Linked DNA regions of Sus scrofa. The protein of the gene in region 3 interacts with the protein of the main gene of each other region in a pairwise test. Links are inferred from orthologs where the notes say so. Each region holds a gene or a part of one and is shown on either strand. Other genes may lie near its edges.

The links.
Region 1: the proteins of SNCA (region 3) and LAMP2 interact in binary tests that used the Homo sapiens proteins (3 or more experiments, as listed by UniProt). The link is inferred for Sus scrofa from reciprocal best matches to the Homo sapiens genes SNCA and LAMP2.
Region 2: the proteins of SNCA (region 3) and USP8 interact in a two-hybrid assay, tested with the Homo sapiens proteins (2 studies listed by BioGRID, with this or other methods). The link is inferred for Sus scrofa from reciprocal best matches to the Homo sapiens genes SNCA and USP8.
Region 4: the proteins of SNCA (region 3) and ARFGAP3 interact in binary tests that used the Homo sapiens proteins (3 or more experiments, as listed by UniProt). The link is inferred for Sus scrofa from reciprocal best matches to the Homo sapiens genes SNCA and ARFGAP3.
Region 5: the proteins of SNCA (region 3) and SDF4 interact in a two-hybrid assay, tested with the Homo sapiens proteins (2 studies listed by BioGRID and IntAct). The link is inferred for Sus scrofa from reciprocal best matches to the Homo sapiens genes SNCA and SDF4.
Region 6: the proteins of SNCA (region 3) and BCL2L1 interact in binary tests that used the Homo sapiens proteins (3 or more experiments, as listed by UniProt). The link is inferred for Sus scrofa from reciprocal best matches to the Homo sapiens genes SNCA and BCL2L1.
Region 7: the proteins of SNCA (region 3) and ARFGAP1 interact in binary tests that used the Homo sapiens proteins (3 or more experiments, as listed by UniProt). The link is inferred for Sus scrofa from reciprocal best matches to the Homo sapiens genes SNCA and ARFGAP1.

Annotation. Positions count from the first base shown.
Region 1 is NC_010461.5:98,621,140-98,625,065, forward strand, and holds the start of LAMP2 (lysosome-associated membrane glycoprotein 2 isoform 1 precursor), read right to left. Parts: upstream 2,801-3,926; 5' UTR 2,657-2,800; coding exon 2,593-2,656; intron 1-2,592. UniProt on the Homo sapiens protein: Lysosomal membrane glycoprotein which plays an important role in lysosome biogenesis, lysosomal pH regulation and autophagy.
Region 2 is NC_010443.5:121,373,355-121,377,490, forward strand, and holds the start of USP8 (ubiquitin carboxyl-terminal hydrolase 8), read right to left. Parts: upstream 2,801-4,136; 5' UTR 2,643-2,800; intron 1-2,642. UniProt on the Homo sapiens protein: Hydrolase that can remove conjugated ubiquitin from proteins and therefore plays an important regulatory role at the level of protein turnover by preventing degradation. Converts both 'Lys-48' an 'Lys-63'-linked ubiquitin chains.
Region 3 is NC_010450.4:129,246,283-129,250,523, forward strand, and holds the start of SNCA (alpha-synuclein), read left to right. Parts: upstream 1-1,441; 5' UTR 1,442-1,519; exon of another isoform or gene 1,520-1,643; intron 1,644-2,276; exon of another isoform or gene 2,277-3,004; intron 3,005-3,121; exon of another isoform or gene 3,122-3,143; intron 3,144-3,492; exon of another isoform or gene 3,493-3,816; intron 3,817-3,893; exon of another isoform or gene 3,894-3,986; intron 3,987-4,125; 5' UTR 4,126-4,150; coding exon 4,151-4,241. UniProt on the Homo sapiens protein: Neuronal protein that plays several roles in synaptic activity such as regulation of synaptic vesicle trafficking and subsequent neurotransmitter release.
Region 4 is NC_010447.5:6,046,137-6,048,589, reverse strand, and holds part of ARFGAP3 (ADP-ribosylation factor GTPase-activating protein 3), read right to left. Parts: intron 842-2,453; coding exon 720-841; intron 1-719.
Region 5 is NC_010448.4:63,529,381-63,532,880, forward strand, and holds the end of SDF4 (45 kDa calcium-binding protein), read right to left. Parts: intron 2,316-3,500; coding exon 2,157-2,315; intron 1,875-2,156; coding exon 1,699-1,874; intron 956-1,698; coding exon 779-955; 3' UTR 473-778; downstream 1-472. UniProt on the Homo sapiens protein: May regulate calcium-dependent activities in the endoplasmic reticulum lumen or post-ER compartment. Isoform 5 may be involved in the exocytosis of zymogens by pancreatic acini.
Region 6 is NC_010459.5:35,365,648-35,368,222, reverse strand, and holds the end of BCL2L1 (bcl-2-like protein 1), read left to right. Parts: intron 1-419; coding exon 420-557; 3' UTR 558-2,075; downstream 2,076-2,575. UniProt on the Homo sapiens protein: Potent inhibitor of cell death. Inhibits activation of caspases. Appears to regulate cell death by blocking the voltage-dependent anion channel (VDAC) by binding to it and preventing the release of the caspase activator, CYC1, from the mitochondrial membrane.
Region 7 is NC_010459.5:62,383,072-62,386,571, reverse strand, and holds part of ARFGAP1 (ADP-ribosylation factor GTPase-activating protein 1), read right to left. Parts: intron 3,329-3,500; 5' UTR 3,325-3,328; coding exon 3,265-3,324; intron 2,914-3,264; coding exon 2,804-2,913; intron 2,553-2,803; coding exon 2,381-2,552; intron 2,009-2,380; coding exon 1,908-2,008; intron 1,314-1,907; coding exon 1,227-1,313; intron 492-1,226; coding exon 395-491; intron 1-394. UniProt on the Homo sapiens protein: GTPase-activating protein (GAP) for the ADP ribosylation factor 1 (ARF1). Involved in membrane trafficking and /or vesicle transport.

The DNA.
Region 1 (3,926 bases), on a different chromosome or scaffold from region 3:
GAGTTTTCAAAAAAAAAACTATTCCTGGTATTCATTTGGATATATAAAAGTAATGTGCAAAACCCACCAAGGAACTGAAGAACTGCTAAATTCTTAAGGGAAAAAAAAAAAAAAAAACACATACGGAAGGAGTTTGAGCTCCACACTGAACCAAAAGATGACAGCAAAAGCAGCTGCAGAGAAAAAGTACTTTCTATTTCATCCTGGTACTTTTGAAAAAACCTGACCTGCGTACGTTATTAACTTTTACTTCTCCAAATCCTATCCTGAACTTGAAAGAGGAGGGAATCTATCTTGGAAATCTTCCAAGAGAAGGAATCTAGTTAGTCCCCAATCAATAAATGGCAAACTAGCAGATGAGCTGATGGGTTCTTTCATGTGCTTCTTTTTTGCCTGTTTATTTTCTGCAATGAGCCAGCACTGCTTTTGTAAAAACAAAACAAAAAAAGCTTTCATTTAAAAAAATTAATGACATGAAAGCCAGCAAGACAATGATTATTTTTTTCACTTTCTCTAAACAATTACAGTGTTGTTTGTGCAGATCCAATTGGCAGTGAACTACTGACTACCAGATGCCTTGGTCAGACGTGTTCTAGGCACTGATAAGGTGCTTTTCGTTGTCAACAATCCTCTCTTAGGGGCGCCTGGCCCTCAGTAAGTGCTTCACAGGGGAGTGTTTCAGCAAGGTCTGGGGGGGCCGGGAGGGGGGCGGTCAGAAGGGCCACGGACGTTTCCTGCAAGCACCGTGTGCCAAGGTGGACTCCCCAGTGTTTTGGCATCGGGACCCCTTTACTTTCTATCCACTGACGACCTCGAAAGAACTTTGGTTTGTGTGGGTTACATCTACTGGTATTTGCCGTACTAGAAATTAAAACCGGGAAGTGAGTAAAACACACCAGAGCCATCACAGTGGTGATGTCATCACACATTGTATAGCCTCTGGAATACTCCACTGTACCAATGAGAGGACGAGAGTGAGAAAGACGGATGTTTTAGTATTATTCTGGAAACAGTTTTGAGCTGACAGAGAGCCTCCCTCTCCCAACCTCCAAAAAGATCCTTGAGAATCACTAGATTAGATCATCAAGACCCCTTCCAAAGCTATAAGCTCTGGAGCCAGATTTTCCATCTTTGGCACTATTGACATTTTAAGGTGGATAATTCTCTTGTTGGGGGAGGAGTGCTGTCCTGTGCATTGCGGGATGTTTAGAAGCACTCCTGGCCTCTTCCCACTAGATAGATGCCAGAAGCAATCCCCAGCTGTGACAACCAAAAATGTACCCAGATATTGCCAAAAGTCCCCTGGTTGAGAATCCACCATTCTTCCAGGGTGTTCATTTTATTCTACTGAAATGTAAATTCCAAAACATGTACCTTTCGCTGCCTTCTCAGGCCCCTAATATATCTCCACTCCCATCTGGGTCTGTTCCTCCTTTTATTAGGCCACAAACAGCAAGAATCAGTGGTAGCAATCAGCACTGGATTTATCAGGTCACAGGAAGAGACATTCTGGTCAAAGTTCACCTTTCAGGCATAAAAGGCCTCAGGGGACCCAATGCTTGGGGCCGGCGGGGGTGGGGTGTGCACAGCACCGTCAGCCAACATTCAGCCAACCATTCTTAGGACCTGATAACAACCCAACCCCTAGGAAGGTACCTACCCTCCTCCTCTCAAAATGTGGTAAGAGACCAGCTGTGTGAGGGGGAAGAAAGGGAGCTTCTAAAGGCAAAAAAAGCAGTACATACAAGACTCAGCCACACCACCCCTAAAACCTCAACATCTGGGTACTTCTTTGTCAGAGTCTAGCTGGGAGGAAGTAACAAAACTGGTAGAAAACCAACGACCTCAGCACCTCCAAGTCAGACATTCACTCCCCACCCAAGTTCCTACTCATCCCTTTAGACTCCAGACTATTGGGTCCTAGTTTTCTCGCTTGGAATTTGCCCCAGCCACCTTAGACTCCTTCCACCTCAAAACTCCAAGTACCAGACGCCAATCCAGCATCATCCCTCATCTCTTTAATTACCCTTGCTCCACGGCCTCAAATTCCTACCCCCACCCGCTCCAACCCAACCTCTCACTATCCTCAGAATCTGCTCCTGTCTGCCCTCGCCCTCCCCCCAATCTCCTCCACGCAGGCAGTCTCTTCCCTCTGCAGTTTTCTCTCGCGCCCCATAGTTTTCCACCATCTTCAAAACTCTTCGCCAATTCTAGAACCAGGGCTCTCCTAATTGTATGTGCCACCCCCAGAATCTGCAAGTACCGCCCTCCTCCGCTCCTCACTCCTTAGTTATCTTCCCCAAGTTACTCGTTCCACCCCGATCTGCTCCACTCCTCCCTCTTCCCTACCTACTACCTCGGCGTCCACCTTACTTGCCCCTTCTTACTCTTGTGGGCCCTTCTCCCCCGCCATCCCTCGGTCGGGCCTTCTCTAGGTCACTGCTCGTCACCTCGGGCCAAGCGCCAACGCCCAGTGTCAGTCGTCTAGCCTCTCAAACCGCTCCTCCTGGACCAGTCTTGCAGGCTGTGGCCTTTGAACTAGGCGCCCCCGGCCCAGGCTCAGGGACTAAGCAGGAGGGCCCGACAACTCACCCAGGACGAGGCAGAGCATAAGGAGCCCGGAGCCCGGAACCGGGGAGAGGCGGAAGCACACCATGATCCCGCAGAGCAGGCGGCGGCGGCGGCAAGAGCAGCAACACCAGGGAAAAGGCTCCCAGAACCCGGGCAAGAGCGCCGCTGACCACCGACCACAACGCTGCAAAAGCGAGGACTCGTCGGCTCTTCAGAGCGGGTCATAAGACCAGGGGCGGGGCTCTTTCTTGCCTTCAGCCAATCTCCGCACGTGAAGGGGGCCAGAGGGGTGGTGATGCGGTGCCCGGTGGGCGGGGCGACCACGCCCTGGCTTTTTGGTTCACACTCATTCTTACGCTCCTAAGAGAAGTGCGCGGACGGCCTTTTCTAAGGTTAAGGAGAGGGGATGAACTTTCGGGGGCTGCAGATGGTAGAGATTATTTCAGTTCCGACTCCCAGAGAAAGAAAGCAATACTTTTGCTGGAGTAAAGACGGTTGCTAGGCATCGAAACGTCATACCTAAAAAAAAAATACATGATTATTCTCCAAACACTGTTGTCCATGTAGTTCACACCATTAAAAGGACAAGGGTAATATGGAGTCACTGAGCGCCAGAGTAGAGCTTGGCCTTGAGGTTCACCTGGTTACAACACTCTGTCTTTTAGATGGGGAAACTAAACTCAGAAAGAGGAAGAGTCTTTTTTAAATATAGAAAGAAAGAAAATGAGGAAGAAGAGAAATAAAGTAGAAGAACAAAGGGGAAAAAAAACCATTCTTATTCCTACTGCACAGACACTGCTCTTTCTTCAGATGTTTCTCCTCTGCCTATAAACATGTAAATCTTCTTAGAGTTCATACTAAATGTACCATTTGGTATAGTTGACAGTTGAACAGGTGAAACCTAAAATATTCAACAAATGAAAGCATTTAAAAACCATAAAAATCTCAGTTGGGATAAAGCACTGATTCTCAAATGTTAGTTTGCATAGAATCACCCAGGGATTTTTTAATAACATACAGAATCTTCAAACTCAGTCCCCAGAGATTCTGAAACAGTAGGTTTGTGGCCGTCCTAGGAATCTGGTTTTGTTTTGTTTTGTTTTTTAACAAGGGCCTCAAGGGATTCTGATTCCAAAAGTCCCCAGACTACATTTTGAGAAACGCTAAAAGAGACCTACAAAATCATCTACTCCAGGAGATCTTAATCTGGTGCCAATGGGTGAACTTGAGGGAGGAGGGGGGATGTTCGTAAATCCCCAGAAATCACGTGCAAGATTTATGTATGTAGATTTTTCTGGGGAAATTTATAGTTTTTACTAGTTCTTAAATGGAACCTGTGACTCCTCAACCTAACA
Region 2 (4,136 bases), on a different chromosome or scaffold from region 3:
CACGTATATATACATATACTGAAACACATATAAATAAGCATATGTATATACACACACATATATGTACTGAAACACTGTGCAGTACACCTGAAACACTATAAATCAACTGTTCTTCAACTTAAAAAAAAGATATGCAAGTCCACATCATTACTGGTACATTTCAGAGAATTCAGTATTATAAAAGACTAAACTAATGTGTTGGAAGAGCCCGGATTTAGCTATCTTAACCCTAACTTTATTCACTATACATAAGTACTGTGTTACTGGAATTAGTATGATTATAAATATATAATTGCAAATAAGTTTAATATTTCATCATTTACTACTAATAAATTTTATATCATGAAAGTATTATAGGTCTTAGTCCCATTTTCTACTCTTTGTCATGTGACTTTGGGTAAATTCCTTAAATCCTCCCAACACCACCACTGCCATTCCCCAGTTTATTTTCATCTGCAAAACAGGAAAAATCCATCTGCTTCTAAAGAGTTTTCAAAAGCATCAAATGAAAAAATATACATATGGAAAAGTGCTCTGAAAATTGTAATGTACACTGAAATGACTAAAGAAATCAAAACTGTAACTTATTCTTCATCTACTGTTAAATCCAAACATTAGTTTAAAACAACTTTTTCAACAAAATTATGGTATGCTAAATATGGCCACAAATTCTTTGGCATTTTCCCCTTCAAAAGGTAGAGGGTCAAAGGGGAAGGCTCTTACTGCTCTAACCAAATGAGTATGTTAGAAGTAATGCTGTGCCAAATTCTGGTCCAGGCTTTAAAAGGCTTTAAGAGAAAGCTTCCACTTTCCGACTCTTCAAATACTTGCTTTTAGAACTCATCCTCCATGCTTTGACATGTCAAAGATGCATAAAGAGACTGGTGCATGCACTCCAACTGACATCTCCAGCTGAACTCTCAGACAGTATCAACTGCCATCCATGCGAATAAACCATCTAGGATGTGCAGCCCAGGTGAGCTTTCAGATGACTCCAACCCTAGCTGTGTACCTGACGACGAATACATGAAACCCTAACTAAGAACCAACCAGGTGAGTCCACTCAGCCCACAGAAACATGAGAATAAACTGTAGTTTTAAGCCACTTTGTTTTAGAGTGATTTGGTATACAGTAATAGGCAGTGGGGACAATAACCAAGATTTGTTTTTAAAGACTCAATAATATCTAATTTTATTAGCAGCTCATATTTGATGAACACTTCTCCCCCTTTCATCTCTACAAAACCAAGTATATCTTCATGAAGAAAAGTTCATAATAAAATATAGTGCTAGACATTTTATGGGAAAAAAATCTGATGTGCTAACTCTTACTTTACAAAAGCCATATTGGTTCTTTCCCATTATATTCACATTAATAAAGACCATAATGATTGATAAAGTTCAAGTAAATACATTAAAAAATTAAATTCTAGAAAGATATCTTTAAAGTATTTTTGTTTTTCTGTTTTCTCAAAGACTACAATGAATACTTGTGTGCAATTAATGTATATTTATATCATTAATGACAGGTTGTTGTTGTCTTTTACTATACAATCCTTACTATCTAATTTAAAAGATGCATCTAATGTGTCACAAGAAAAGGAATACACATTTCAACATGATAAAGACATAGCACAAGCTACGGCACCTTTCAGATAAACTGATCCAGTACTCTGGGGTCTGAGAAACTATCTAAATTCATCATGAAAGACATTGAACAATGAATCAAACAGAATCTGTTGAAATACAAAATCTGCTTACACAGCAAAGCTACAGAGCAAGCCTAGAAGAGGAACACTTCCTTAACAAAAATCACTTGACATTTTTCATGGCTCCAGTAGGAAGTATTCAAAAATTAAGATGCTCGCAGATGCAGAAAAAGTAAAATCCTCAGTTCGGCATCGCCTACATCTGAAACCCTCAGAGCTCTTTAACAAATATTAAATTCCTTAGGCTCTGCAACACCTCTGTCTTCAGGTAAATTTTTTTTAGTGATTAAGTGATTTGCTTCAAGGTCACAAAATGTACTGGAGGTAAGAAACAAACCCAAAAGTGTGGTCTGCAGCTTTCTGTCTAAATTCTGGGTTCTGGTATTTTCCAAGGTGGAGTGGAGGTGAAATTAACTTGTTTCACACCTCTAGTAGAGAGGCCACATTTTAGGAAAGAAAAGATTTTACTTGGGGAGTCGCAGTTTTAGTTTTGATGAGCTCATTGATTCTTTAAACTCCTACTTGGAATTCACTAAAACCAAGTTTGACAGGATCAGAGGAAGGACTGGAAAACACTCTAGAAGGTTGTATTAAGGCCTGGGAAGATAGCCCAACAGCAGAAAATCTGAAAACAGAGGCAAGAGGGACGAGGTCAAAGTCGGACTGAGCGTTCAAGAAGGTGGAAGAATGGTCAAGGCCACCTTCTAAGACCGGAAAACCTGAGCCCACACGAAACTCGCTGGGCAACTCTAGGTGGGCACCAGCAAAGACTCAGGGTAGGGCCCTTCCTCCAAATGCGGATTCTACGTTCGAGCTGTCCCACCCTTCTCCGAAGACAGGGGTTGTCTCCCGGGTGACCAGCAGCTGGTGGAAGGGGGTTCACTGAGAAGAGCTTCCGGAGGAATAAAAACCAGGATCCAACCCCTCACTCACCTTGGCGCACGGCGCGCTTCACAAATGCCAGCCGCCTTGCCAAAGGCCCATCTCCCACCAAACCGAGGAAGAATCGCTAACCCGACGGAAGCCAGACCAGCTCATCCCCTTTTCCCAATTTGCACTGCGTTACGACGCGTCGCTGCTCTGACGTCACGCAGGGGCGGGGCTGCGCGCGCGCGCTCTCACTGCTAGTTCCTTCCCATCCCGGTCACCGCCTGTGAGAGGGTATGGGAGGGCGGAGGAGGGCTGAGGCGGATGTTTTAGATGGGCAGTATGGGTACGGACCAGGCTACGCTGAGCTGAGGCGAGCTGGCCCGCCCATCCCCTGCGCTCTGTATTTCTCGGGCTTAGATCTGTTACCCTGGTGTTACTCGCATCGTGGGTTTTGCTGCGGAGGAAGCATGGCTGCTTTTAACGCCTGAGCTACGTCTCTTCCTCTTCTAATTGGAGATGTAGGGCTTACAAGAAAAGGAATTTCAATTTCCTCTAATTCTGGCTAAAAGTTTCGCCTCTGGTAAGGGAAGAATGAACACGATCCTAAAAATCATATTATGTATGCATATAAAACGTTAACCAAAATTCTAGTCTTACAAAAACTAAACGAGAGGCCTGAACTTTTTCACAAGGTGATCTTTGTATGCTCGTAGAAATGGTGATTAAATACTCCAATTAGACCATAAATTTAAACAAATTTGGTTGGAGTTTTTGGCCGTGGTCACTAAGCTCCCAAGGACAGTCCAAGTGTCTAATGGATGGAAAAGCTGGAAGGCGGGGTATAGTAAGTGTGTTAAGTGAAAGTGTGTACCAAATAGGTGTTCAATAAATTTGTAATGAATAAATGACACCTAAAGCAACAATGTGTCACATATAGTAGTCTTTCCATTAATGTTAATTTCCTTTACATCATAATGAAGTACCTGCAAAAACATGGTAACTCTTTTAAACTCAAGCTATACACTTTCCCAAGAGATTTAAAACCGATAGAATATGAAGTATACTATACCACCTGAGTATACTATACCACTACTAACTAGGAAACCTTAGAAAAAAATTTCATAACCATGGGGGGAAAATCACAGCTATTGAGGGTGGATCTTAAGAAAGTAAACTGGGAATTCCCGTCATGGCGCAGTGGTTAACGAATCTGAGTAAGAACCATGAGGTTGTGGGTTCGATCCCTGGCCTTGCTCAGTGGGTTAAGGATCTGGTGTTGCTGTGAGCTGGGGTGTAGGTCGCAGACGCAGCTCGGATCCCGCGTTGCTGTGGCTCTGGTGTAGGCCGGTGGCTACAGCTCTGATTCGACCCCTAGCCTGGGAACGTCCATGTGCCAGGGGAGCGGCCCAAGAAATGACAAAAAGACAAAAAAAAAAAAAAAAAAAGAAAGTAAACTGGTTGTTGGTTGTTTGCTTTGTGTGTGTATGTATGTCTGCTGAGCACCTTGATGAATTTGAGTATGCAAAGAAAAAGCCAGAGCAGAGTTTGGAGTGGGAA
Region 3 (4,241 bases):
TGATTTACAAAGTGGTGATACTTTCTGCTGTACAGCACAGTGATTCAGTTCTACGTGTACACACATTCCATTCCCTTTCAGATGCTTTTCCCAGCATGTATTTTTCAAAACTGTTTTAAGGGAACACTCAAGAGCTGAGCCTATCGCTGTTTATAAATCTTACTTAAAATTGAGAAAAGACCATTGAAATAGTATTGTTTATTTTAAAAGATTTATATTTTATGGATGCAGGGTTAAATATTTACAGATGAAAAGACATATATAATTCTTGGGATTTAGTAAAAATTGGGGGAAGGAGTAGTGATAAATATAGGGAATAGACAAGAATGCAGATGCACGTGGTTGACTGCATTAGAAAACAATGGAAGGAGTTCCCGTCGTGGCGCAGTGGTTAACGAATCCGACTAGGAACCATGAGGTTGCAGGTTCGGTCCCTGCCCTTGCTCAGTGGGTTAACGATCCTGCGTTGCCGTGAGCTGTGGTGTAGGTTGCAGACGCGGCTCGGATCCCGCGTTGCTGTGGCTCTGGCGTAGGCCGGTGGCTACAGCTCCGATTCAACCCCTAGCCTGGGAACCTCCATATGCCACGGGAGCGGCCCAAGAAATAGCAACAACAACAATAACAACAACAACAACAACAAAAAAAAAAAAAAAGAAGAAAGAAAACAGTGGAAGCTGGGTGATATTCCATGGAGAGTCCTTTATTCTATTTTTGTTTTTGTTTTGCTTTTTAGGGGTGCACCCGCAGTATATGGAAGTTCCCAGGCCAGGGGTGGCTGGACCTGTAGCTACTGGCCTATACTACTACTACAGCCACAGCAACACCAGATCCCAGCCCTATCCCTGACCCACACTGCAGCTCATGGCAATGCAGGATCCTGAACCCATTAAGTGAGGCTGGGGATGGAACCCGCATCCCCACGGATACTAGTTGGGTTTGTCACTGCTGAGCCACAACAGGAATTCCTATTCTCTCCATTCTTGTATGTTTGAACATTTCCCATAATAAAAAGTTGAAAAGAGAGGGATCATCTTGGTTCCTCTCCCTTTACAAGAGAAAACTGAACATAACTTGTATTGGCTCTCAAAGCCAAAAAGCAAACCAACTTCCAAGTTTCCTTCCAAGTTCCCCAGGAAACAAAATAGGAGCGTTTTTAGAAAGCCTACTTTTTAAAAGGGCCGACCATCAGTGCAAGGAGTAGGTTAAGCAATATATATACTTGCTTCCCATCTCTTTGGGTTTCAAACTGTTGTTTTTGTAGATTTAAATTACTTTTTACTCACATTCCAGAATGTGAGTCCAAGGATCAGAGAAATTCCCCCCCACACACACACAAATAAACACAAGACAAGCAAAAAAAAAAAAAAAAATCTGCAAAGACCTGTTTTTTCCCCTTCCAGTTCTAAAAGCATCCTCCTATTCCAGGCAAAGCAAGCAGAGGCAGTCTGTTAGGGGGAGGAGCTTGGTTCTCCATTCCGGTGTGATCCAGGAACAGCTGTTTTCCCTCCAGCTCTGAAAGGTGAAACTGTGTCAAGCAATGCAAAAATTGTCTTGAAGCTCGTGCATGTGTATGTCTGTGTGTCTGTGTGTGGGATGGGGTAGCCTGTCAGCCCCGAGGACAACGTGAATCAGTAGTCGGAAAGGTGAGTGGTATGTGGAATCTCTCTTTTCAGAAGGGGCCCATGAAATTGGATATGACGGTTCAGGAGACTCAGTCACTCTGGATTTATCTCTTCCATCCAGGAACAGGAATCTGGAAAGTAAATCCCATTCTGAGAACAAAACGCCTTACAGCCGCTGGGTTTCGACGGCTGGGGAATATTTATTCCTTGATCCACTGATGGGAAAAATCAGCGTCTGGCAGCCGCTGATTGGTGGAAAGAAAATGGTGATAGTGGGGTGGGAAGAGGATTTGACGAGCCTCCTCCTGCCTCCTCAACCTGTAACTCATCCTTACTAGTCGCCTCTCCACCTGCCGGACCACTTCGGGCTCAGGAGAGGTTAAGAACAAACGTTAAATCCGGAGAATAGTTAAACAAAAGCTTCGTTAACATTGTGTCCTAAGGACCCTTCATCCAATTTCAGTGATGCGAGGGAAACCTGCGCTTGGTCCTGATGCGGGTACCTTCCGAAGCTACCTGTCTCCTTTAGCAGCTCCCCGAAAGACTGGCGCTATTTTGGTGGTAGAGCCCTCAGACCCCACTTCCCCGGGCTGGCTCATGACGTGGGGGTCCGCAGGAAAAACCGGGGGGAAAGGCGGAGACTGGGAAGGAGGGGGGATGGGGAGAGAGAAACAGACATCAGACATCAGCCCAAGCCTCAGAGCTCCGGATCGCCGCCAGAGCCCGGGCGCCCCTGAACTTGAGGTGAACCGCCCAACACCCCACCTTCCAGTCTCCCAAGCCCAGGCGGGCGGCTGGCGTTGGAGGTACAGCCTCCCACCACCCCCATCCGAGAAGAGGAGTGAAGTGCACGCGGCGGGGAAAGCAACGCGCGCAGGGAGCGGGGCGGGGAGCGGCGCTGACAAATCCGCTGCGGGGGCGGGGAGCGGAGGAGAAGGAGGAGGAAGACGAGGAGAAGGACCGAGACCACTAGAAGGGGACCCAGGAGAGGGGGCGAGAGACAGAGCGCAGCGACGTGGGGGTGAGGTGTGTGCTGGCTTTGGAGCAGACCCGGGGACCGCGCCTTGCCTTTGGCAGCCTTGGCGCTCTTTCGCCGCCTTCCCTTCCTCCCTTCTTCTGCCTGGAATCCTCTCGTGCGGGGGACGGGGAGTGGCGATTCGACGACAGGTTCGCGGGTTCCCTCCCACGCCCCCAGCCTCTCCCCCCAGGGTTGTGCCGACAGCCGCCTCCGCTGAGGGCCATCCCTCTCCTGGTGCCGCCTCCACCCTTCCTGTGCGCTCCTATCCTCCTCCCTCCCATTTAAATAATATTTAGGAATTGTTTTTAAAATTTTTTAAGTGGGTGCGGGGAGGATCGGAGTTCTCAGGAGCCAAGGGAATCAGGTAAGTACCTGTGAATCTAAGTGGGCAGCTTGGGAAATCTTGGAGAAAACCTGGTGGGAGAAGAGTCATTGCGGCGCCTGGGGGGGGGGGGGGGTTAGTGCTGCGGTGAGGACCTGCCATAGTCGAGTCTCTCTTAGAGGTGGGCACTGACCCCTTTGGTGAGCTTGAGGAAAGTAAATTGACTCGGCTTACCTCTCTTCTCGTCCTCAAAGGCTGAGCGGTCTGGATTCTCCGGGATACGCTTTTCCTTTGGGAAAGTCGAGGATGCTCGAAGGATTATAACTATTCAACTTTTATTTCTTACTTTCCTTAAATCCCCCAGCCCACCCTCTCTGTTCTCTCTGTAAAGTAAGCAAGCTGTATTGGGCAAGCCTTTAAATGGAAGCGCAGAGAGAGCAAGTCAACAGGTGGGAAGGGGTTAACAGGTGCTGGGCGCCGGGTGGGTGGCGGGTTCAGCGGGCTAACTCCACCTCTGGCAGCTGGCGCGCATCCGGAGACTGCCTGCAGGTGTGAACGCTCCTGCTTGCCTGCTCAGGGTAGACAGCTGAAGGTGGGGTACAGCGTCCAGTGGGTGAGAGCCACTGCAGGTGGGCTTGCAGTTGGCCTGGGGTTCAGCCACACCCAGAGTGAGTGGTTCTCTTCCCACCCCTCTTCCTGATCAACCTGTTAGCTGTTTGGGGGATTTATTTTGAGTATCTCTGACCCCCCCTCCTCCAGCTCCTTTTTCCGTTTCCTGTGATCTGTCTTCTAAACGCACTTCTAACTTAACACCTTCATCGTTTGGACCCTGGGAAATTGAAAGGGGGGAGGGGGTAAGTCCTTTCATGTAACTCCACTTGGAATGCGGTGAGAACAACTCAGATGATTCATCCCAATCCATGTTTAGGAGGCTAGACTTCCACCAAACAAGATGGATGGGAGATGCTAAATTTTTAATGCAAAAGCTAAAAAAAGGCTGCTTTGTCCAGTGGTTGAAACAGAGGTACACCTACAAGAGTCCTGCATTTTTTTTGGGGGGGGGCGGGGGAGTCTACTGATCTTTCAGTGATTTTTACCTTGGGTGGTTCTAATTTCGTTTTGTTTTACCCCAAAGTTCTCAAAGTGTATTTTGTGTTCTCCAGTGTGGTGTAAAGGAATTCATTAGCCATGGATGTATTCATGAAAGGACTTTCAAAAGCCAAGGAGGGAGTCGTGGCTGCTGCTGAAAAAACCAAACAGGGTGTGGCAGAAGCAGCGG
Region 4 (2,453 bases), on a different chromosome or scaffold from region 3:
CTCACGGCAATGCCGGATCCTTAACCCACTGAGCAAGGCCAGGGACCGAACCCGCAACCTCATGGTTCCTAGTCGGATTCGTTAACCACTGCGCCACGACAGGAACTCCTGAAGAATTTTTAATTAGACACAAGTGCTCATAACACAACAGCATGAAGAAAAAGGGGCTATGAAACCACCTATTCAACATAATCCCTTTAAAATTTTAAACGGATATCCACAGAAATCTGGAGTTAAAATAAAATCATCGAGTTCCCCGGTAGCCTAGCAGTTAAGGATTTGGCATTGTCACTGCTGTGGCATAGGTTCTGATCCCTGGCCTGGGAGCTTCTGCATGCCACAGGCATGGACAAAAATAAGTAAATAAGTAAATAAATAAAATTACATCAACCAAAATATTAATGGAAGTTTTCCCTGTGAGGTGACATTGTGGGTAATTTTTATTTCCTTCCCAATATTTCTATTTCAAGATAGGAAAAAAGTAGATAATGATCATGACAATTCCAGTAACAATTCCTCTAGGTCGTAAATTAGAAAATTTAAACAAATATGAAATTATAATTTCTGGTTTCCATGATGTCCTGGGTTACACTGCAGCAAACATATAAATCAATAATACAAAATCTAATTTTCTAGCAATTGAAGAGTAGTCCAAATCTCATTTTCGAAGCTACAAACCCACCATCATGCTCAGTTAATGTCATCCCAGTTTCACTAACCTGAATTGAAGTCATGACACCGTTAGCAAACACGGAGAGCTTTCCAGCAACGGATCTCACCCCCTGCTTAAACTGGGCCATGTCGGGAGCCGTGGGCAGCACGCTCGTGAGGTTGTAGTTTCCTGCACACAGAGCAGACGCTGGCTGTCATTCTCCTGCAGCAACGGCACAGCCAGTGCCTGGGAACCCAATGGCTTTGGAGAAAGTGGGCCCCTCCCCTCCTGCTTCCCGCCGGCAACAGCTGTGGTTAAGGGAGAAGGACCCCGCAGTGGGTTTCGGCGCCAGCCCTGTCGTGAACCACTTGTGAGACCCCATGTGAGAGAAGATGCGGTACTAGGTCTTAGGACCATCATGAGTTCAAATACTGGCACTGCCACTTCCAAGCTGTGTGCCTTTGGAGAGGGCCCTCACCCTCTCTGGGCCCTGTGTTCTCCAGGCTCGACACAAACCTGACAGGTAAATATTCAGAAAATGGCAGATGGGCAGATACCTCTGCGTTTTGTGGGCTCAGCATCCCTTCTCCTCTTTGTATAAAAGCCCCCCTCCCTTCCTCTGGGGAAGGACTCTCCCCTTCACTCCCCCAACCATGTGGTGGGCACATGACCTGGGCCTGGCCAATCAGAGCCTTGCTGGGATTCTGGAATATTCAGGGGAGAGAAGGCCTGGCTTCTTGAGGGTTCTTGAGCAGCTATTCGTGACTGGGGCTGCCCCTCTCCCTACTCCTAAGGAGGGAAGGAGGAAGCCTACTGCAGAGAGAATGAGGTGGGGTGGGGGGCAGACCCGTAAGCCAGCGGTGGGTGAAGCTGTCCCAAGGCTGCTGACTCTGAGCAGAGCCAAGCTCATGGCCAGTGTCTCAGGCACAGAGGCTGCTGTCAGCTGGGATTCTGTTGCTTAAGTTTGGGTCGTCCCATCACAGACACTAGCCTATTGCCACCAACACAGGTGACGCACGCAGCGTTATCACACATAAAGGGGGCTCCGGGGCTGACAGCGGGGCTTTGGCCGCACACGTGTCACGCAGTTGTAATGAGGTGCTGGAGGGGCTCAGAGACCTCCAAGTGAAGCCAAATCCCACAGGTCCTACAGGGAGCCAGCCCAGCTACACACGACCTGTCTACAGTCACCTGCCCTTGAAGAAGCAGGAGATACCAGGTCCCCTTCCGAGAACAAAATGGAAGCGATGTGTTCATCCTCCAGCAGAGACACCACCCACAAGACACTGTGTCCCCTGCAGCACTGTCCCGTGCCCACTGTGCGGGGAGGAACGGCCACAGGTGTGGATGCTTCCCCTCTCGGCCTCCAGGTGACGTTTCAAAGTTTTGTAGCCTTTTGCGAACGACAGAGTGGCAGCCCAGTCGTGACGGGACTTGGGTTTAAATCCCAGCATAGTGGTGCTACCAGCTTGCAAAGTGGGTCTTGGAGGAAACAAGGAGCTAGTGTGAGATCCTGGGTGCAAAGGCCCAGAGGCGGAGCTGCTCCATTGTGCAACGAGGTCCCAGTGGCCAGAGAGGTGTGGCCAGAGGTCGGCTGGGAGGGGGGGGGGAAATCTCAGCAGAAGCACCTCCACTTACAACTTGAAAAATGTTTATAGAAGAGAGCACAGCTGAGGCAGGATGGCTTTGGGACAAGGATCCCCCACTGACCACAAGCAGTCCTCAGGTGCTCTGAGCCCCAGTGTCATTCCTCTCTCCCCATCTCTTTAGGACTCCCAAATTCTAACCCTTACAACAAGCT
Region 5 (3,500 bases), on a different chromosome or scaffold from region 3:
CCACAAGCTCAGCAAGCTTCTGACCCCTCGGCCACCCTGCCCCGTCCACCAGACCAGACCCCAGGCCAGGAGTCCGGGCAGCGCCCCCCACCCCCACAGTTCTCCAACCCTCCTGGGGCCCCAGGGCTCGTCCTCAGAGCCTCCTCTCCACCTAAAACCCCATTTCCTCCCGCCCCTCCCTGCCTCCTGGCTTCACATCTGCAGCCCAGACCCCCAGCTCCCACCTTGCGGAGGCCCCTTCCTGCCCTGAGGCCCCTCACACACGGCCCCCCACCGGTCCGCTGCCCTGTCACCCTCCCCGTGGTGGCCCGGGTGGGCGCCCGGCACACAGGGGATCGCAGGCGCCAGGAAGCGCCGGATTCTAACCAAACCGCCCACCGCAAAGCTTTAAGTGGAGACGCCCGGCCACAGACGCTCCAAGTTATCGATTACGTGGTTTTCTCTCCCCGCCACACACAAAAAAAGAAGAGGCTAGGAGAAAAAGGCAACTGTATTTTAAAGTACATTAATGAGATTCTCGTCGCGGGTGTTCACGTTTTCTCGGAGGCCGAACACGGAGGGGCCGGCAGCGGTCACAGCCGCCCCCACAGGCGGAGCAGCCCGGCCGGCAGAGCAATGCAAACATCTTTCAGTTTTCCAGGAAACAGCAGGAGCTGCGGTGCCCCCCGAGGTGCGTGAGCGCGGGCGACGGGGCAGCGGCTTCCGCAGATGGGCTGCAGTTCTCAGAAGCATGGTGCAGCGACGATGAGGGACGACACGCTGCGGGGGCGGCGTGGGGTCAGAACTCCTCGTGCACGCTGCGGGCGTAGTCCACCAGCTTGCTGCCCGTGAAGAACTCGCTGTACTTGAGCACCTCCTCAGGCTCCAGGTAGTGGTTCTGGTTCTCGTCGGCGACGGCGATCATCTGCTTGGCCTCGTTGAGGGCACTGAACTCGTTCATGGGGTCCATGTAGTCCTGCAAGGGCCCCGCCAGCGTCTCCCCTGCCCTCGGCCTGGCGCCCAGCCACGCCGCCAGACCCCCGGGACGTGCGGCCGCCCCCAGGCGCTCGGCACCCCAGCCCCGGAGGCAGGCCAGCCTCACGTGCGACCCCGTGGGCTGGGGGACAGGGCAGGGCAGTGGGCGGTTCCAGAACGTCCAGGAGGCTCGGCCTGGCAGCCCTCCCCACCGGGTGGGGGGGATTGGGGGGGGCGCCTCCCCGGCCTCCTCAGGGGGCCACCCAGATCCCAGATGTGGACACAGCCGGGTCTCGGGCTCACAGGAAGGAGCGCCAGCCCTGGGCCCCGCCAGCCCTGGGCCCCGCCAGCCTTGGGCAGGGATCAGAGAATTCCGCGTAGAGTGAAATGACTCAGCAGCAAAATGGGAAAAAACAAGCCCCACGCAGCACCTACACGCGATACCAGTGAACACACCTCAGAGGCAGGTGGCAAGCCAGCCCACGCCCGTGCCCCTCGTGCCCAAGCGTCTGGACAGAGGGCCCAGCGGGCAGCCGCTCCTGAGCCTACGAGGCTGCCTGACCCAGGCACCCGACCCGGGGCCGGGCACCGACACTGTGCCCTAACGCCCTGCAGCAGGCACATGCCCACCACTTCCACGGGCTCAACCGGCCCCAGGCACCCCAGCCACAGGACGAGCCACGACCTGAACCATGAGGCCTTCCTGGCTCAGGCTGGGGCTCCCCGCCACGGTCCCCTGCTCACCTCCAGCTCCGCCATGGTCACGATCCCGTCGTGGTCGGCATCAATCAGTTCCTCAAACTCCCTCCTCCTGTCCCTCACCCAGCCGTCGTCAATGTCCTGGCCTTGCTGGTTCTCCACGGTGCCCGCGGGCAGAGAGATGAACTCGGGCAGCGAGAGCCTCTTGTCACCATCCTGGTCTGCAGGACAAGGGGCAAACCCTCAAGACTCCAGTGGACACAGGAGCGCCAGGCCCCTCGGGAGAAAAGTCAACCGCCCGGGTTTTGCAGCCAGGCCTCCAGTTTGTGAGGGTTCAGTCCGACCCGAACAGGTGTGTCTCGCAGGACCTGCGGCCGGATGGCATCGGCCAGGGCCGGGCCTGCCCTCGTCGGGCGGCCGCGCGGCCTTCCGGGGCCACCGCAGCCCAGGACTGGCCGCGCTGACCTCTGCCGGGAGGACCAGCGGGGGCGGGGGGGCCTCACCCAGGTCCCGGATGATCTCCTTGGCCATGAACTGGAGCATGCCACGGCTGTGCTCGGGGTGCAGGAAGGACAGGAACTCCTTCTCGGTCAGCAGCAGGTCCGGGGGGGGACTGTCCGCCTGATACCAGCGGTCTTTGAGGTTCTCCAGGACTTCCTGTGCTGAGAGGCGCGCCTCCGTGAGGATCTGGGCATGCGGAAGCCCGGCAGCCTCCGTGCGCCAGGCCGAGGCCCTGCCCTCGGGAGGGGAGCTCGGCCCCCCGAAGGCAGAGGCGCAACCGGCCCAGACACAGGCCCAGCCCCTGGCAGCCTTGCTCCCAGCGGGGTGGAACGTCTCTGCAGGGACAAGGGCACGACTCGGGCCTGCCCTTCGTCCCGTGCACCCTCCACGGGCAGGGCGGGGAAACCCCGTTTCCACGATGCCCCTGCCCCTCCCTCCATGGGAAGGCCGCGTGGGGCGTGGGGGGGTCCTGGGGCCGGTGACCACCCGGGGCCCCGCTGCAGCTTTCTGCTGGGAGCAGGGACGCCCGAGTCACAACAGGGGATCCCACACAAGGCCTGCAACCTCGACCCCACTGCCTCCAACAGACAGCAGATCCCGTGGCACAACTTTCAGGAGTAAATCCACCTCAGGCAGGTGGGAGCGGCTGGTTGTTCCCTGCCTGTCCGACCAGGGGGACGGAGCGGCGGACAGGCACAGGTTGGCCACGTCTACCTGGAGCCTGGGCATGGGTCCTGATGTGGAGATGGGATCTTTGCAGCTGTGACTAATCATCCTGAGGTGAGGTTGCCTGGGATCTCAGCTGGGCCCTCACCCAGATCTCCTTGGCTAGGAGGACACAGAGGCTGGAGAGGAGTGGCCACCAGCAGAGACGCTGGCAGCACTAGAAGCTGCAGGGGGGGACACCTGGCAGGGATCCTTCTGCAGGGCGCTATGCTGCAGCCCCAAGGACCCGCGCGTGACGGGTGACCTCAAGCTCAGCTCTCACCCTCCCGCCATGCTCTCCGGGCCTCTGGGACCCTTGACAGCTGCTCCTCACCTCTGAGCCCCCAGACCTGCTCACCTCACAAACTGAGAAGGGAGCAAGGGACTCATGAACAGACAGGAGGGGAGACGAGGGCTGGGCGGGCACACTGAACGCAGGGCGTGGGTTTCCAACTCACCGGCTCCGTGTCCCAGCCCCACACCCCCCAAGGAAAAGGGTGCTGAAGACAGACAAGCGGGGCCAGGTGGACGGCAGCTGCCCAAGAAGCCAGCATCCAATCACCGCTGGCAGGAAGCGGACGGGGCCCAGTCTTCGGAAGCCTCTAAAGGGCCCTTAAGTGAGTTCCCGCTGGGGGCAGCAG
Region 6 (2,575 bases), on a different chromosome or scaffold from region 3:
CTTGGGCTCAACTCCAAACTCCAGACCACGCGTGGTCCAACTCTCGCTCATCCCACACCCTCAACTCCTTTCTCCCTTCCTCTTGTCATGCTTCTCCGGCCACCTGGCTTCCTGTCAGTCCCCTGCCCCTGGCCATCCCTTTCCCACCCCAGGTTCTGAAGCTGTCTGACCTTGGACAAAACTCTTTCCCACTTTGCACCTATTTTCTCAACAGTAAAATGGGTTGGTTTTTCCCACCCGAGGGTCAGGAGGGAGGGCAGCCCTTAACCCTTTTTCTGGCCAAGAGAGGTCACAGACAGCTACTGTTTCTCAAATCACCAAAGCCACTGCATGCAGACAGCCCCCCTTCGGCCCACCCACCCTCAGCACAGTTTGAGGCCTCAAACCACATGTTCCCTTTCTCTCCTGTCTCCCTGCAGGACACTTTTGTGGAACTCTACGGAAACAATGCAGCAGCTGAGAGCCGGAAGGGCCAGGAGCGCTTCAACCGATGGTTCCTGACGGGCATGACTCTAGCTGGGGTGGTTCTGCTGGGTTCGCTCTTCAGTCGGAAATGACCAGACACTGACCACCTACTCACCTTCTCACACCCCCCCCCGCCCCCACCACGTCCCTCCGTCCAGCCACCATTGCCACCAGGAGAACCACTACGTGCAGCCCACCGCTACCCACCCCTCACAGGGTTGGGCCTAACCTGGTCCCCTGCAGTTAGTTTCTAGAATCTACCATGCTTCTGTGAGAGCCGCCTTCCCCAACACCTCAGTTCTCCTGGCCTCAAAACCCACAAAGTTTCCCCCAAATCTGCCCCATGGAAGCTGGCAGGTGCCAGGGTGGTGGAGGGATTGTGGCAGGGGCCAGAATTCCCTGCCTAATAGGTGGAGCCCCTCCCCCAGCCTCCCAGAGAATGCTCTCCTGCCCAGGACACAGAGAGCTTTCTGACCCTTTTCCCCAGAAAAAGAGACTAGATTGCCTTCGTTTTGATGTTTGTGGCCTCAGAATTGATCATTTCCTGTCTTCCCCCTCCCGGACCTGGGCTCCCCTTCCTTTCATGCCCACCCTCCAAGAGCTACTTAGGGCCACTTCTGACTAATTACGGATTCAGGCTGCTTGGGAGAAAGTAAAAAGGACCAGGACCCTCTCCCCACCTCTGGCCTGGCCAAAGTCCCTACCCCCAAATCCCAGTGTCCACTAGAGGCCTCTGGCTAGAGGTCAGCCCCACCTGGGATGGAGGGGGCTGTAGCTGCAGGAAGCACCCCACGCCAAAGCTCGGGTGGCCCTCGCGGTTTAGCACCACCTCCGCTCCCTTCCCCTTCCTCTTCCCCAGCTCCCATGACCATGACTGAGGGACCAACTGGGCCCTAGACAGGTGCCCCAGAGCTGTTTATGGCCTCAGCTGCCTCACTTCCTGCAAGGAGATCAGCCTGTGGCATCTTTGCCTTGGGCTGCTGCCCATGGGGGTCAGGAGCCTCAGCCAGAGGTGAGGGGAGCTACAGGGAGCAGCTGTGGGAGCCCTAGGGTCTTCCCTACCTCAGGCAAGAAGGGCAGGAAGGAGAGCCTCATGCTGCCGTGAAGGGAGGGCTGCTGGAGGGGCCAGACCTGCCTGCCTGGCCCAAACGATTTGTGCACCACCCTCGTTCAGCCTGGGCAGCCGGGCTGCCGAGGTCAGAGTGGCCTGGCCAGGAGCTCTTCAGGCCTCCTTCTCTCCTCTGCTCCACCCATGGCCTGTCTCATCCCTGGGGGTCCCGGCCTAGCCCCGGCCACCCCGGGCTCTCTGCTGTACATATTTGAGACTAGTTTTTATTCCTTGTGAAGATGATATACTATTTTTGTTAAGCGTGTCTGTATTTATGTGTGAGGAGCTGCTGGCTTGCTGTGCGTGTGCACGTGGAGAGCTGGTGCCCGGAGGTCAAACAGCCTGATGCTCCCTCCCCTGCCCTGGTCCGGGGAAGCCAGCCGGGGGTCCTGGCTCCTGAGGGACACCTGTCCCTCCCCCAACCCCCACCCCACACTTGTTCCAGCTCTTTGAAATAGTCTGTGTGAAGGTGAAAGTGCAGTTCAGTAATAAACTGTGTTGATTCAGTGAACAAAGGGCCCAGGCTTCAGTGTGCTGCGGGACGGGGCCAGCGGGGGGGTGGGGGTGGGGGCTGCTTGGCTGGCAGAGAGGCTGCCAGGGAGGGCAGTGGGGACAGCCAGATGAATATAAGGATGGTGCCAGCTGTTGCAGGGCAGAGGAGGCAACAGGGTGACCCTGAGGAATCATGGCAAGACATAAAGGACCTAATGGGGAAGGAGGTAAGAAGGGGTCAGATTTGAGATAACGTTTTAAAGATAATGCCCCAAGACTGGCTGCTGGATCAGTGAGAGCGCTAGAGAGGTGATTTGAGATTTGGGAATAGGGGTATGATTATAATTACAAAGCGAAGCACATGTCTGAGACCAGTACAACCCAAAAGGCTCGTAACGAGTGTCCAACAGCATTTCACACAGAACCTGAGCTTGTCTGGGATTCAGGGAGGGCTCCCTGGAGGAAGTGACATCAGAGCCAGGGCCTGAACAGGCAGGCTATAAGAATTAT
Region 7 (3,500 bases), on a different chromosome or scaffold from region 3:
TCCTTCGAGGCCCCCCATGCCCTGCACTGGCCCTGCCCACTCGGCGGCCAGGACCCCATCGGGTCTCAGAGCGTCCAGCGAGCCCCCGGAGCTCCCGGCCGGGCCCTCGGGCTCTGCGTCCTCCCTACAGTGGACAAGGCCCTGGAAGTGCCCCTGAAAACGACGGTTGGACCCGGAGCGGCCGAGGCTGGAGCTCTCCAGCTCGTCACCTCTGCCACCAAGACCGTGGCCCTACAGGCCGGCGGCAGAGCGACGCCTCCACCACGAGGGCGGCCTCAGCCGGCGGAGGAGCGCGCCTTCCCGACCTTCCCGAGTCAGAAGGCGCTCTGGCGCCAAAGGGCTGAAGGACGTGAGCGCCAAGAGCAGGCCCCGGGGGCCGGCCGGGTGCCCTCACCGAGTACAAGGACGACATGGCGCTGTTGAGAAAGTCATCTTCCTTCTTCTGAGGCGGCACCGTGTTCCCAAACCCCACGTAGCGGTTCTCCGGCGCCCTGGAGGGGACACAAGCAACAGCCGCGCTGCCCCAAAACCGTGGGGTGCAGATCCGCCCCGAGCCCAAAACGGAGGCTCCGAGAGGCTGGCCCCCGGGGGCCCGAGAACGTTCAGGGCTGCACCGGGGCAGCCACACCCCCGGCGCGGGTTCCGGACGAGGGGCTGCACCTGCCGGAGAAGCAGCGAGCCTCAGAGCCAATGCGCCAAGCGACCGAGTTCAAGTGGCGGCTCCAGGCTCACCCACCTATGGGTCACGCAGGTCCCGTAAGGTCTCCTTACTTTTTGCTTTTTAGGGCCACACCCGTGGCATTTGGAGGTTCCCAGACTAGGAGTCTAATTGGAGCTGTAGCTGCCGGCTACATGGGATCCGAGCTGTCTGTGACCTACCTACACAGCTCATGACAACGCCGGATCCTTAACCCACTGAGCGAGGCCAGGGATCGATCCCACGTCCTCATGGATCCCAGCTGGGTTCTTAACCTGCTGAGCCGCAACAGGAGCTCCCTCATCCCTCCTTCCAGGCGTTCTTAGGAGAGATTTCCTCTTAGAGGTTTTCTCTCCGCTCAAGCCTCCTCCTGCAACGTGGGCTGCTCCAGGGCTTGCCAGTCAGGACCCTTCGAGGCCGCCCACTCTGCAGCCACTGCACACGTGCCTAGACCTGCAGAGCAGCCCAGCCCGCAGGCCAAGCCTTCCAGGGCCGGTCCCCGCCTCTCCCAAGCCCACCTGAGTCTTACCCTTGATAGGAGCCAAGATCATCGTTCAGCCAGTCCTCGAAAGCCTTGTCGGAGCTGGCGGTGGAGTTCTGTGGCCGGCCAGTGGCCCTGCAACAGGAAGGCAGAGGTCAGTGAAGCCGTCGTGCCTGCGGGAGGCCGGGGGTCTCTGGTCACAGCTGGCTCCTCCGAAAACAAAGCTCAGAGTGGAGGGCGGCCTCCTCCACAGCGCCCGGCCCACACCTGCAGGGAGGCAGCAGGGGCATCGGAGGGGCAGAGGCCAAAGCAAGCACGTGGCAGCAGTCTGGAGACCTTCCGACGGGAAACCCGCCCAAGAAAGGCAGGGGAGGGGAGGCCCGCGGGCGCCTTCTCCAAAATCAGTCTCCCGGGAACACCCGCCTCCAGGCCGCCAGAGAGGCAGGTGGCCCTCAGACAGGACAGGGGACGAGAGCAGCCGAGCGCTGTGGGCCCAGACCACAGGGACTCACAGTGCGGACCAGGTCACCACTGCCTGCCAGATGTGCCCTCACTAACTGGGTCTTTACGACACATTCAAGCTGTAACTTAAAAAGGTGCTTTTCCTGCCGACTTTTACAAATCGCTCACGCCAGGAGCTGTCACCACGACCCCAGGTTCCCTGAGCCACAGTGGTCAGTACTGGGCTGACCCGGGCAGAGCTGGCCAGCAGGCCAGAAGAGCAGCTACCCGTGGGCACAGGTTGGCAGCATCTTGGGCCGAGGCGGGGTCCAGTTCCGGGCGGGCGAGGACTCCAGGGACCATTCTCCGCCTTCGGCCACAGTGGCCACCTGCCGGGGGGGCCCAGGTTAGAGGCCGGGAGCCGCCAAGGCCAGCGTTCGCCCACGAGCAGCACCCAACCCCTGCAGCCACAGGCCGGGCGCAAACACCGCAGAGACCAGGTCTCAGGATGCCCGGGGCCCGAGCAATGTGCTGGTCCACGTGGCTCCAACCCCAACCACCGGGGCCCCTCCCTGACAGGCGCCCCCAGCGGGTGCTGCTGTTGTCAGGAGCGTTCACCCACATGGACGCAGTGCACCCCAGGCCGCAGGGAGCCCCATCTGTCCTGCCCGCGGACGTACTGCACAAGGTGAGGCAGGGCCCTCGGGAGCTCGGCTCCCAGAACCACAAAGGCCCTGATGAGCGGGGCAGCTGGTCCGCACCTTGTCCCGAAACAGGGCGGCGGCCTTGCTGTTGTACTTCTCCTGCAGGGACCAGCCGGGGTCGTAGTCCTCCTGGGACTCCAGGAACTCCTGGAACTTGGCGTTCCCGCCCGCTTTCATCTTCTCCAGCTCCGCGTCCTTCCACTTGTCCATGGTGACAGAACGGACGAAGCTGCAGACCGAGGGGCCACCTGTCACCGTACTGAGCACCCAGCACCCACCCACCCGGGAGCCTCCCCGCTCACCAGGATTTAAGAGCCCACCCCAGTCTGGGACCAGACTGGCGGGCCTCCCGCCTCCTGAGATAGAGCGCCTGAGGGCAGGAGGGGCCAGCCTGCGATTTCCTGGCCCGCACGCCCGGGGGAGGCCCTGGTCACAGCTCCGGAAGCCCGCGGCCCGAGGGCAGGAAAGGAGGGCACTGACCTGAGGTGCACCCCGAGCCCGCGGTGCCTCCCCGAGCACTCCAGGCAGATCCAGATGCCGTAGCTCACGCTCACCCACTGAGGGTTAAAGGCGCCGCACTCGAAACACACCTGCGAAGAGCGCACAGGCGGCTGGGGCAGGTGGGGCAGGGGCAGGTCCGGGACCCCAGAGAGCCTGGGCGCCCGGGGGAGGGAGCGGGGGAGGCGGGCGGTGAGACCAGCAGGAGGACGCGGTGGCCACAAGCACCGAGAGAGAAAGAAAGAGAGAGAGAGAGAGAGAGAGAGAGAGAGAGAGAGAGAGAGAGAGGGAGGGAGGGAGGGGGAGAGGGGGAGGGGGAGGGGGAGAGGGAGAGGGAGAGGGAGAGGGAGGGAGAGAGAGAGGGAGAGAGAGGGAGGGAGGAAGAGAGAGGGAGGGAGGAAGAGAAGGGCGGGTGGGCGCGTCAACGACAGGGGGATGCTTACGTTGTTTCCATCTTGCACCCGAATCTCCTTAAGAACCTTCCTGGTTCTCGGGCTGGCCATGGTGCTGCCAAAGAAAAAACCAGCCTCTAAACTGACGAATAAGTCACTTCGCCAGAAAATCAACCGTGGATGTGAAAACACCATAAAATGTAACTTTGAGAACTCCGCTAAGCTGCGTGGGAGCTGCAGGTCCCAGGGCCACTCACTGCAGGCCGCGCCAGGGACCCGCTTACCCC